Linked DNA regions of Rattus norvegicus. The protein of the gene in region 1 interacts with the protein of each later gene in a pairwise test. Links are inferred from orthologs where the notes say so. Each region holds a gene or a part of one and is shown on either strand. Other genes may lie near its edges.

The links.
Region 2: the proteins of Ergic3 (region 1) and Apol2 interact in binary tests that used the Homo sapiens proteins (3 or more experiments, as listed by UniProt). The link is inferred for Rattus norvegicus from reciprocal best matches to the Homo sapiens genes ERGIC3 and APOL2.
Region 3: the proteins of Ergic3 (region 1) and Vamp5 interact in binary tests that used the Homo sapiens proteins (3 or more experiments, as listed by UniProt). The link is inferred for Rattus norvegicus from reciprocal best matches to the Homo sapiens genes ERGIC3 and VAMP5.

What each region holds. Positions count from the first base shown.
Region 1 is NC_086021.1:164,983,830-164,988,066, forward strand, and holds the start of Ergic3 (endoplasmic reticulum-Golgi intermediate compartment protein 3), read left to right. Parts: upstream 1-1,341; 5' UTR 1,342-1,387; coding exon 1,388-1,475; intron 1,476-1,610; coding exon 1,611-1,681; intron 1,682-1,798; coding exon 1,799-1,886; intron 1,887-2,067; coding exon 2,068-2,187; intron 2,188-3,444; coding exon 3,445-3,538; intron 3,539-4,174; coding exon 4,175-4,237. UniProt on the Homo sapiens protein: Possible role in transport between endoplasmic reticulum and Golgi. Positively regulates trafficking of the secretory proteins SERPINA1/alpha1-antitrypsin and HP/haptoglobin.
Region 2 is NC_086025.1:111,216,146-111,220,349, reverse strand, and holds the start of Apol2 (apolipoprotein L2), read left to right. Parts: upstream 1-1,254; 5' UTR 1,255-1,387; coding exon 1,388-1,514; exon of another isoform or gene 1,515-1,570; coding exon of another isoform or gene 1,571-1,634; intron 1,635-3,275; coding exon 3,276-3,356; intron 3,357-3,655; coding exon 3,656-3,782; intron 3,783-4,204.
Region 3 is NC_086022.1:105,990,298-105,994,669, forward strand, and holds the start of Vamp5 (vesicle-associated membrane protein 5), read right to left. Parts: upstream 2,951-4,372; 5' UTR 2,838-2,950; coding exon 2,835-2,837; intron 1-2,834. UniProt on the Homo sapiens protein: May participate in trafficking events that are associated with myogenesis, such as myoblast fusion and/or GLUT4 trafficking.

The DNA of each region.
Region 1 (4,237 bases):
GGGCTGGGGAAAGAGCTCAGCATGGTTAGGTACTTGCTGCTATCTCAGAGGACCCTGGTTCAGTTCCCAGCACACACACTTGGTGACTCACAACTGCCCATAAGTCCAGATTTAGGGGATCCAATGCCCTGCACTATCACCTGGTACATATAAATGCATGTAGATAAACATACATAAACATAAATATTAAATCTTCAAGACAAAAGCCTACCATGAGATGCTAACAGGCTGAGGCAGGAGTCTAGGAGTTCCCAGTCAGCCAGGGCAGCATAAAGAGACTATCTCAAAACAAAATCATTGAGCATTTTGTTTTTGTTACCACAGCTATCTTAAGCCATCTAGAGCCAGTGGGTTACAGCAGAAAGCAAATAAGGGTTTGCTGAATCTCTACAGCCTTGGCCTGGAGGGGTGGAGTCAGCGAACCGTGCAAGTTTTATTGACCCACACTGGGATTAGCACAGGGAAGCTTTTTGAGTTAAAAACCCAGGGTACCTTGAAGTCCAGAACTGGGTTCCACTATTGATCAGTTTGAGCTTGAAAAAAATTAAAATTAATCCCCACTCTTTTAAAAACGATTTATAGAATATATTTACATATTTGTGAGTGTGGCTATGGGCATACTATGGCACTCATATGGAGGTCAGAGGTCATTTTGCAAGAATCAGTTTTCTTCCACCATAAAGGTCCGGGGTATAGAACTCAAAATCGGCAGCAAGTGCCTTCATCTGCTGAGCCAACTCACCAGCCAGTTAATACCCACTTCCCCCTGCAGAGATTCTCATGCCTTAACCCCATTGGAAGCACCTCAGAGTCACTTTTGGATTTTCTGATGAGGGAACCAATTATTTACTTGGAACGGATTCCTTTTTTTTTTTTTTTTCTTTTTTCTTTTTTTCTTATGTAGTTTTTCGAGACAGGGTTTCTTTGTGTAACAGCCCTGGATGTCTTGGAAACTCTTTGTAACCCAGGCTGAACTCGAACTCACAGACTTGCATTTGAGTGCTGAGATTAAAGCTGTGTGCCCAACCCGGTTTGGAGCCAATTCTAATCAATGCTGTGACCCTACGTCAGGGTCATATTGGAAGCGCTGTCCAAAGAGATCCAAAGGTCCGAGGAGAAGCGCTTACCACAGGTGCTGTCACTCCGCACTCAAGCACCGCCCTCTGTGCTCCCGGCCCACCCCCTTTGGAGCACCGCCCAATCTGCGCCAGGGGGCGTGACAATGTTCGCAGGCTTGATAGCCTTTGAGAAGGCAAGTGAGGGGTGGAGCCCCACTTACGCACTGCTACGCCTGCGCAAGACAGCGAGGGGCGTGACCCCGACTTCGGGCCGGAAGCGGGAGGCTGGAGGGGCGGGCCGGCTGGTGTCCCCTTTCCGGCCGGTCCCCATGGAGGCGCTGGGGAAGCTGAAGCAGTTCGATGCCTACCCTAAGACTCTGGAGGACTTCCGGGTCAAGACCTGCGGGGGCGCCACGGGTAGGTCTCGGCACGGGCAGGGTTGCAAGGAGGGAGCTGTCCTCGCTTTTGGCCCGGGCTCCCGGACTCTCCCTGGCCTGTTAGGGGCTGAGGGGTGGGATGCAGGCCATGCCAAATCTCGCTCTCGCTCCGCAGTGACCATCGTGAGTGGCCTTCTCATGCTCCTGCTGTTCCTGTCTGAGTTGCAGTATTATCTCACCACCGAGGTGAGGGGCGTGGCCTGGAACGTGGGCGGGGCTTGACGTTCTAAGGGTAGGACCCTTAAAGGTGGGAGAGGGGAGGAGAGGAGTAGGGCTAATCTGACTGAGGTAGTCACGCTCTAGGTGCATCCTGAGCTCTACGTGGACAAGTCTCGGGGGGATAAACTGAAGATCAACATCGATGTTCTTTTCCCACACATGCCTTGTGCCTGTGAGTACCTGATTGTGAGTGGGAGTTGAACCCCTGGATGTACACCTCTGGCCTTAGATCCTGTAGTAGTTGCTAGGTCATCCTCATTCCCCAATCCAGTTCTTCCTCGAGATACATCTTTCCCATCACAGCTCTGCTCTCCAGGGCCCTGGAGTCATAGTTAGCTTACCTCTGTTAACAGACTTGAGCATCGATGCCATGGATGTGGCCGGGGAGCAGCAGCTGGATGTGGAGCACAACCTGTTCAAGAAACGACTGGACAAGGATGGCATCCCCGTGAGCTCAGAGGCTGAACGGCATGGTAACCAAGGGAGGAGGGGACAGGCCTCCAACCCTAGAGCTGGACATTCTTGCCCTGCCTTCCAGAAGCGGGCTGTTGCAGGCCCAGTGACACATCAGACAGAAGTCAGGTGGCTTGCCTAGGGTTCTACAGCTTGACTAAAAGTCAAGAGTCAGTTGAATCCATGCTTCATGGAGTAGAAGACCTTAGGGGCTGGAGAGGTGGCTCAGTGGGTAAGAGCAAAATGCTTTACTTGGTTACATTTCTCAAGCTTGAGCATGGGTCTTCCTTAGGAAAAAGCTGTTAGGTGTTCACTTGCTCAACTCATTGGCTAGAGCACTTTTCCCCACTGCAGTGCAGAAGAGTTTAAGTTCTCAAGGAGAATTGCCTGGGTTCGGATCTGGCATTGTTGGCGGTTTAAGAGCATTAGCTATAAACTGGTGGTAAGCAGTAGCAACCCATGCGTAAGCTGAAGGGTTGGATGCAGGGCAGACAGATGTCAGCTCACGGTGCTTTGACTTTGCGATGGTTTGAAAGCATGCCCGGCCCACCGTCCAGGTCTTCGCTTTCAGTAGAGGTATCAGTAGATTATTAGAGATCCCCAGTCCTTCGTTAGGAAAGAGTCACAGCAGATGGCCCTGCCCAGCGGTCTCTCGGCTAAGTATCCCGAGCACATTTAAGGCAGTGTACATTAAGCTCTAATGTTCCGTATCTTAGGTGTATTAAGTGCGTTCTAAAGTATCAGAACATGATATTTTACCAACAGTAGCCTCATCCCGAGTTGAGGATCAGTAATACATGGTCAGTGACATAACCCATATGTAACCTTTATAAAAGACCTGGTATGGAGTGCTACTCACTTGCGATTCCTATCCCATAGTTGCAGTCTGTTACCCTCAGCCCATCTCACTACGTGGCTCTGGCTGACCTAGAACCCACTCTGTAGACCAGGCATGGGACTCACAAATCCTCCTACCTCTGTCTCTCCAGTGCTGGGACGGAGGGCGTGTGCCACGACTCCAGCTCAGACCCAGTTTCAGGGTCTTCTGGGGATGAGATCAGACAACTTGGAGTTACCTGTACCAGCTGATACTTAGTATTTACGCTGTTTTCTAATTAATACTGAGTCTATGTGAAGGGCTTAACATCTGACTGTCATAGTTGTACAGATATTAGCTTCGGTTTTTCCCAGGGACTCATGTGGGAGGGAGGGAGCTGTGGCTGTGGATGTCCCTGTGTCTGCTTCATGATGAACTTTTGCCTCTGCCCTGCCCTTAGAGCTTGGGAAAGTCGAGGTGACAGTGTTTGACCCAGACTCCCTGGACCCCAATCGCTGTGAGAGCTGCTATGGTGCGGAATCAGAAGATATCAAGTGAGCCATGCCCTCGGGCACAAAGCGGGGTTTCACCAGGCTCTGTGGTTAGCCAGCCTCAGCCTTGTCCAGACTGTTGCATGGGGAGTTAGACCTGAGAGTTTTATCATTAATGATCCCGATGCAAGCAATGACAGTAAGCGGGCCCACTGACAGCTGCATCCCTGTGGGTAAGGTGGAATGGCTCTTGCTCTTCTGTCTAGAGAGTCATCCAGTCCTGTCTTCAGTCCGAGTCACATCACTTATCTATGTATTAATAAAGGATGATAATGACACCCTTCTTGCCAAAGTCACATAAGGATCAAGTGTATGTTGCATGTAAAGCCCTGACGTACAAGGCCAAAGCGACATTAGTAAGCCTCCAGTTTGTGCTAACCACTGTGTGATTTCCCAGCCCCAGCCTCAGCCCTTGAGAGACTGATGCAACAGGTCTAGAGAGATCTACTCTTAGAAAGAAGAGGGAGAAATTATAATAATGCTACACGTAGCGTAAAATTCGCCATTATATGTGCTTTTATGTGTACAGTTAATTGGCATTAAGGACATATACTACCTTCTGCAGTGGGCAGAATAGGTTCGGTGTTACTCCCCAGGGCACTGTGGCTGGGCTCTCAGCCCTTCGTGCCTTCCCGACAGGTGCTGTAACAGTTGTGAAGATGTGCGGGAAGCGTATCGCCGCCGAGGCTGGGCCTTCAAGAA
Region 2 (4,204 bases), on another chromosome or scaffold:
GCAAGGACATAAGGTGTGGGGACTAAGAGGGACACATTGCCAAACATTATCCCTAGAGCCATACCAGCTCTGTAATCCTAAGATCACTGGGTAGACCATGGGTTTGAGAGACTGAGTGCACAGAGGTGCAGACTAACTCACAGCCTTTTTTTATTTTAATTTTTATTTTATTTTATTTTATTTTTGAGACAGTGTCTCTCTAGAAATCCCAGTTCCCCTACATAGTCCAGTCTGGCTCTAAACCTTTTCATCCAAGCTTCCTGAGTGCTGGGGTTCTAGGTTTGTGCCACCAATGTGTCTTTTAAAGGTCACACTTAGTACTTCAGTCTCGGAGTAAATGGGGCAGCACTGATCTCCACTCTGCCCACCAGGAACCTGTGTTTTCTTTCTTTCTTTCTTCTTCCTTCTTTCTTTCTTTCTTTCTTTCTTTCTTTCTTTCTTTCTTTCTTTCTTTCTTCCTTCCTTCCTTCCTTCCTTCCTTCCTTCCTTCCTTTCTTTCTTTCTTTCTTTCTTTCTTTCTTTCTTTCTTTCTTTTTTCTTTTTCTTTTTTTGGGAGCTCGGGACCGAACCCAGGTCCTTGCGCTTGCTAGGCAAGTGCTCTACCACTGAGCTAAATCCCCAACCCCCAGAACCTGTGTTTTCAACTGATGGACACATCGTTTGTGCTGCTGACACCCCAAAGGCCACTGCCCACCTGTGGGATGGGGTTGGCGTCTCTACAGTGGGAGGAAGGTGCCACAGCCACTGTGGGGAGATGAAGGGTCAGGAAGAATAGAAGTGTCTCACTGTGGAGTGTGAAAAGTCTCACTAGAGGGTCAGTCACAGCAAAGACGTGGAGGTGTCACAGTCAGTGGGGCAGGATGCACTTGAAGGTGTATGATAGAATTGGATGGTTGGGAGGGAAGGAGGGAGGACAGAGGGGCTGCAGCAGGCTTGAGGCCTGGAGTTCTGGCTAGAGGGGCTTCAACATGACCCTGAAAGGTCATCAGGGACCCCTTAGAAGGAGCAAGCTGTCTTCACTTCCTCCCTCCCTACCCTGAGGATGCCCTGAGAAGGGGTGGGTCGGGCTTTGCTTGATTGCTGGAGCTCCAGCTGGGAAGAAGAGGGTTCCTATCAGGGCTGCACAGCTGGCCAGAAGCAGGGCGGGGTAGTCCTTCCTGGAACAGCCTTTCTATAAACCGAGTCACAGCCGCGTTAAGAGGTCCACTGTGCCCATATTAGCACCCGGCTACAGCAGCACGGGACCAGGTCAGTGCAAGGCTTTACTGAGGGGCCAAAGAATTGAGACTGGGGGCTTTCTTTGCATATGAACTTCTCTGCCTGGGGGTGGGGAGTGAGTAGTCACCACTAAGACAAGAATAACAGAGCAAGAAGATTTTATCTGCTTATGAAAGGACAGAATATTGATGAACCTTCTGAGAAGACATTGAGAAACTCTCCTCCTTGTTGCTCTTGCAGGAACTGGGGTTCTTGGTCCTGGCGGCTGGTAGGTGCCTTCCCAGAGCTCCAGAGAGGTGGGGAGAGCCAGACAAGTCTTGGTTAAGTTAACCCTGTGGTAGTTAACCCTGTAATGGAGTGCCTCGGTGTACCAAGTGTGCATGCAGAGCTGGGCAGGATTGGAAATGGCAGTGAAGGTCGGAAAGGGACAGGCACTTGAAAAGGCCACTTCATCTCATCTGGTGACTTGGGGGACATTTGCAGGCCTCTCTCTGTTTCTGTCAGGCCTTTTTATGCCTGAAAAATACCATCAGAACCAATTCTTTTTTTTTTTTTCTTTTTTTTTTTTCGGAGCTGGGGACCAAACCCAGGGCCTTGCGCTTGCTAGGCAAGCGCTCTACCGCTGAGCTAAATCCCCAACCCCCAGAACCAATTCTTTAAAGATTTATTTATTATATGTAAGTACACTGTAGCTGTCTTCAGATACACCAGAAGAGGGCATCGGATCCCATTACAGATGGTTGTGAGCCACCATGTGGTTGCTGGGATTTGAACTCAGGACCTCTGGAAGAGCAGTCAGTGCTCTTAACCACTGAGCCATCTCTCCAGCCCCAGAAACAATTCTTACTGATTGCCCACACCCACCATACCAGTGGGATGGAACTACTTTTAGCTTTCTGCTTAGGAAGTAAGCTAGTTTCTTTTTATTTTTTAAAATATTTTTTCTTTCTTTCTTTTTCTCTTTTTTTATTTGTTTTGTTTTTGTTTTTAGAAATAGAGTCTTACTGTGTAGCCCTGGCTGGTCCCCAATTTGTTATGTTGACCAGACTGGCTTTAAATTTAGAGATCCACTTGCCTCTGCTTCCAGAGTGCTGGGATTAAAGGCATGTGCCACCACACCAGCCTAGACTTATTTTTCAAGTGTGTGTGTGTGTGTGTGTGTGTGTGTGTGTGTGTGTGTGTGTGTGTGTGTTTGTGTATGTGTGTGTAAGCCAGAGGACAACTTGTGAGAGTGAACTCTGTCTTTCCACTATAAGGGTCTGGGATTGAACTCTGCTCATCAGCCTTAGCCACAAGCACCCTCACCTACTGTGCCATTTTACCAGACCTCTTGAGGAAGTAACCTGAAATGCAAAGTTCTATTAAAGGAGAATGTTCTTAGTGCTGTGACTTACATAAAGGATGGCTATGACCTGAGGTTCAATGGTTAGGGATGGTAGATGGGCAGCCCAGAGCAAGTACAAAAACAGAGACAGGGAGTGGCAGGCTTCTAGGCCCTGGTTAGATGCAGGATCCTGCAGAAGCAAGGAGTGTGAACTTGTCCCCTGGAGGGCACAGGCGTGGCTGTTGATGGGAAGCATCAGCAGCACACTGCACGGGAACAGGAGGATATATCCTGCTGGAGTGTTTAAGGGACCCAGGCTTAGTCAAGGGGGTCACGCCTCAGAACGGCTTGGGCTCACATGCTGGCTCTAACACTGGTATGCAGACTGGGGGTGTTAGCTAGCCTTGTAAACACCAGTTCTTATCATTAGTTCCCATGTGTTCCTACCCTCAGAGGGCTGCCAGAGCATTCCCCCTCTTCTTGCCTTCTGTATACAAAGTTAGTTACTTCCCACAGCTGCATCATCAGCTGATCCCAATGGGACAGGTGCCTTTGCCTGGGCTGGAATGGCAGATTTGGGATGGACAGTTAGATGACAAGCAGGTGTCTGCAGACGACAGGGAAGAGAAACACTTTGGGTAATGTCTGGTCCACGGCAGACACTGTGGAGGGAACAGTGGGCTACAGGGCTTAGGTGTTTGCCTTCTCTGTAGCTGATCCCCCTCTGTTGCAGTTTGTTTTCTCCTCCTTGCAGCTTGGGGCAGAGATCCTGCATTTGACACCATGGACCCTTCAGATGGCGAGGACTCTCCAGGTAGTTATTTATATTCCCCTGGCTTCTTCTTGCAGTGGCCTGGACCTCCATACCGAGTGTAGAGAAATTGAGGACAGCACAGGGGTGACCCAAGGGGGCATTATAGGTGTTCTCCCAACACCAGCTCTCCACAGGGGAGGTCTGTGTCTGGCCCTGTCCTTGGGGAGTACAGCGGGACTCACCTCCTTCCTAATCCCACCTCCTCGGGTGGGACTAGGGCAGCCTGGGAAGCCGGCTCAATGCTTAGCGTTACTCAAGCTCCTCCATTTGTCCTTCTACCTCCTCTCCTCTCCACCCAGCAAGCAGAACCTTCATTGAGGAAGCCACTGAGTATCTGCAGCACACGTCGGGCAGGGACGACCTGAAGCTGCTGCTGACTGAAGATGGAGCCTGGGAGGCCTTTGTGGCTGAGGCTGAGTTGTCCAGGTCACCTGCAGTTAAGGACTTCCCTCTTCCTGGCTTCTCGTCCCCTGCCTGTGGATGGTGCAGCCTTATTCACCTCGTGTCTTCCTCACCCAGTGCCCTTGTTCACACGGGTGGTGCTCTCCAAAGCACCTCCTGGATATACCCACAACTGTGCTTTGGGAATGTGCCCGTGTCTCTCAGTGAAACTGAGAGGCATCCGAAGGCTGGGCCACACACACACACACACACACACACACACACACACACACACACACACACACACACTGTCCTTAAGGCTGACCTGGGGTTTCTTACTTTCCTGGAGGTCAGAAATGACACCAAAGCCCCTTCTGCACACCATAGGGTAAAGACTGAACACTCATTAATATAGAAAATGCCTGGGTACAGAAATCAGATCCTAGATTTTCCTGATTTTAAGATAT
Region 3 (4,372 bases), on another chromosome or scaffold:
GGGCCTTAAGTGTTGGACAACAGTAACAGCTACCTTTCAGTGGGCACAGGACCTGAGCCAGCACTGAGCTGGCAGTGCATGTGGGTGTCTGGCTAAACCTTCATAATAACCCACTGAAGAAAGTATTATCATTGTCCTTGCATAACAGCCCAGGGGCGTTAAGTTGCCCAGGGTAAGTAGGCAACCTGAGGGTAGAATGGACAGAGATACCAAGGGTCACATGTCTAACCCCTGTGCTAAACCAGACGCACAGAAAGCGTGAGGTCTGATGCCCCTGATGATTGGCTAAGGAGTACTAGCCCCTTGATGCTGCCAACTAAGCTTGTGTTCAAAGGAGAGAGGCCTGGGACTAAATGCACAAGTTCTGCCAGACGAATGACTCCAAGAACCATTTTAGGCTGAGTGTAGTCATGGACCTATTTAATCCCAGTACTCAGTAGGTAGAGTTCGAGGCCAGTCAGGTCTATAGAGTATCTAGCGGGACCTTGTCTAAAAAAATATTATTCTATTTCTGAACATGGTGTCAAATACTAGCACCTGGAAGGCAGAGGCAGGAGCATTGCTGCAACTTCAAGGCAGGTTATACAGCAAGACTACCTCAAAAAAAAAAAAAAGTTAATTCCATTCAGACATGGCGGCTCAGCTACATAGCGAGTTCCACATCAATCTGATCTACATGAGACCATGTCCCCCCAAAAGCAAACAAGCAAGCTAAATACTTTTTAGTTATTTACGGTGGGGCTAGAGAGATGGCTTAGCATTTAAGAGCACTTGCTGCTTTTCTTTTCTTTTTTTTTTTTTTTAAGATTTTATTTTATTGTATGAGTACACTGTAGCTGCCTTCAGACACACCAGAAGAGGGCATCAGATCTCATTACAGATGGTTGTGAGCCACCATGTGGTTGCTGGGATTTGAACTCAGGACCTCAGGAAGAGCAGTCGGTGCTCTTAACCACTGAGCCATCTCTCCAGCCCCACTTGCTGCTTTTCTAGAAGATCTTGGTTCCTAGCACCCACTTGGTAGCTCACAGCCACCCGAAATTCCAGTAGGAGGTGACCCAACACCCTCTTCTGGCCTCCACAGGCACTGCCGGCACAGGACACACACACGGACATGCAGGGAAAACACATTCATACACATGAATAAAATCTTTTAAAGCTTTTGGGGACCAGAGTCTGAATCCCTAGCAGCCACATGAAAGCCAGGCAGTCTGCTTGTAAGCCTGGGGCTCAGGGGCAGAAATGGGGGGGGGCTGATCCCGGGGACAAGTCAGCTAGTTAGACTAGACAAACTGGTGAGCTCCAGGTTGAACCAGAAACCATCTCCAAAAATAAAGTGGAGAACAGCTAAATAAGACACCTGACAGCAACCTCTGACTTCCATACATACCTACACATGTATGTGCCTACACATACCTAAACACATGTGTGCCCATACATACCTAAACACATATGTGCCCATACATGTGAACAAGCATGCCCACAGTATTTGCAAAAAAAGATGATTGCTGATTTCCATCCCCCCGTCACTGCTTTGTCCTACTCCAGGGGCACAAAAAAAAAAAAAAAAAAAAAACCCTGGATATTAATTTTAAAAAGTCCTTTTGACTGAATGAGTCCCAGGGAAGAGAAGGGAAGGGAAGGGAAGGGAAATTGGGGGTGGGGGTGGGTATAGATGGTAGTCAGAGGGGTGGGATGACGGAAGAAAGAGCTGGAGACAGAAAAGGGGACGGGGGTGGGGAGAAAAGATAGATGATAGAGCCGGAGACAGGCTGAAGGAATAAAGCATGCACCCCCCAGGCTCTGAACCCCCTTTGCCTGGAGTGTACCTATAGACATCCCAAGGGTCTCCTGAACAGCCAGATAAACGTAACCTGGCTCAGCCTTCTTTCCAGAACTTCTCCCCTAGAGCTTAAAGCCAGCTGATGGACCATCCCGTACCTCCTCCCATCTTGCCCGGCACTCTCGGAAGTGGGCTCTCAGCTCCAGCCATTCTCAGAGCTTCCCTCAGTTTCCTGGTGTGGCCTCAAAGCTCAGGGCTACCTTCCTGCCACACTTCCCTTTCCTGCCTCCAGTTCCCCAGAGATGAGGCCATCCAGGCATTGCCACCTCTAGCCAGGTCACATCCATTCAGTACTAAACTTGCTCCCAGTCTGGCGTCTTCCCAGGCGCCCTGGAAGGTGGGATCCAGGCACCAGTGGTCCCTGACACTTTTGGAAATGACAAGTCTGCAGCAAGAGTGTAGGTGACTCAACTCATGATTATGTTACTAGGCAGAGGTCAGGAAGAAGTCAGCCTGTGTCCCTCTAATAACTTCATGGAACTTTTATAGTAAACAACTTATTTTTTCTTTCCCCGGGGCAAGTGTTTATCCTTCAGCACCGGGCCTCTACCAGGCATGTGCTCAGGTTTCCAACCCTTGGGCCAGTTCTGGCTCCTCTTAGCCTGGGGAATTGCTGGAGAGGTCATCACATTACCTACCACTTCTCAGCAAAGGGTTCTGAGTGCCTGGCAGCAGCGACCATAAACATCTACTTTAACCTCTCAAGGACCCACCAAGGTAGGTATTGCTGCCCCTACTTCACTGCGCGGAAAAGGAGACTGGTGGAGGTTAAGTGACTTGCCCGGTATTGTCGGAGCTGATAACTGCTTCAGGAGCGTGAGAAGCTGCAGCTCCGCTCACTCCGCCCCGACGGGGCGCACTCTGGAGTCTCCCTCCCAGGCTGCCTGCAAAGTTGGGGACTGATTCTTGTGGTCAGCGTGACCCACGCCCCTGGAGTTCGGCTCTGGCTTTATGCCCCTGCACAATCGCCCTCTGCCCCTTCCCATCTCACCATCGCCTCCGCAGCTGCCGCCGCTGCCTGATCGCGGGCTCCGGCTCCTCTGCCTCGCGCTGCCTCAGTGCCCGCGGCCGCAGAGGAAGCGGCGGGGCGGGGCGGACCGGCGGTCCAAGAGGGAGGGGGGCGCGCCTTCTCAGAGGTGCCGGGCCCGGACAAACCGAAAGTAGTGACAGGGCCGGTGGGGCGCCTCCTACCGGGTCACCGGCGTCCGACTTCCGATGACACCCCAGCCCGGTTGGGGAACGATGTCTCTTGGATCTGGAGGGCTGCAACAGGAGTTCCGTCATTCCATCATGTGGAAAGCATTCGTGAGTGCTTGAGTGCTAAGTGCAGGAGATGACATGAACAAGCCAGGAGGAGTGTTTGCCACCTTGGTGAGTGCTGCTCACCCGAAATTAAAAGCACACCAACCACCCCAAAGTTCTGATTGTTTTCAGACAGAGCAGGTAGTACATTCTATGTCACCGAGTTATACACTTAAAAATGATAAGCTAGGGGCCAATGAGATGACTTAAGTCACGTGATGTCAAACCTAATGATTATAGAGTTCCGTCCCTAGGACTAACAGTGTGGAAAGAACCAACTCCTCAATTTGTCCTCTGATCTCCATACATTAGGGGATGGAGATTTTTTTCAGCGCTAAAATTGCTGCCGGCGTTTCTGTGAGCTAAAAGTCTCAATGGTGTGTGGATGGACAAGCCATTAAAGCTGTTGGGATGGACTCCAGCCCCAAATAAAAGGTGACAGCAGCAGCCAGGCCAAGCTTTGAACCAATCGAGGCAGAAGAGGCAAAGGAGGAGATTTGAGCCAGCTTCCAAAGTGGTACCCAAGCAGAGACCATTCCTTCTGTACGAGAATAAAATACAGACAACTACACAGGTGTCCCGAAGAGTTCCACAGTGAGTTTGGGAGAGAGTTGGAGAGCAAGCTGCTACAAGGGAAACAAACAGAGGTTGTCCAGCCTGAGAACACATACTTTCTCTTAGATTTCTGATGCCAGCCTTACTGGATGGTCCTCTAACATTCGAGGAAGATGGAGTTTTTGAATAAGAGATGCTGAGGATACTGCAGCTTTCCTTGCAGAACTGGGAACTGAGAAGTCCTTCCCTTAATCTCACTGGCCCATCCCAGCCTCCAGACAACTTCAAGGTTAAAATGAGGTTGTTTTTAAAGAATTGTGCAGAAGGTGCAATCAGAAAGTCTAAAGATCTATAAAGGATACACGGTGCTCTGAATCTCACAAAATGCTCACAGAGGGATATATTATACGATACTGTTTTATGTGCTTAATCAAAGACGAAAATGTGAGACTGCAGAAATGGCTCAGCAGTTAAGAGCCCTGGATGCTCCCCCAGAGGTCTGAGATTTAATTGCCAGCCCCCCCCCCCCATGTCAGCTCATTACAGCCTGTAACCCTAGCTCCAAGGGATCCGATGCCATGTTCTGGCCTCTGAGGACACCTGTCACACATGTGGTGCGCAGTCACACATGCAGGGGAAACACCTTTACACATAAAATAAGAGCAATTTAAA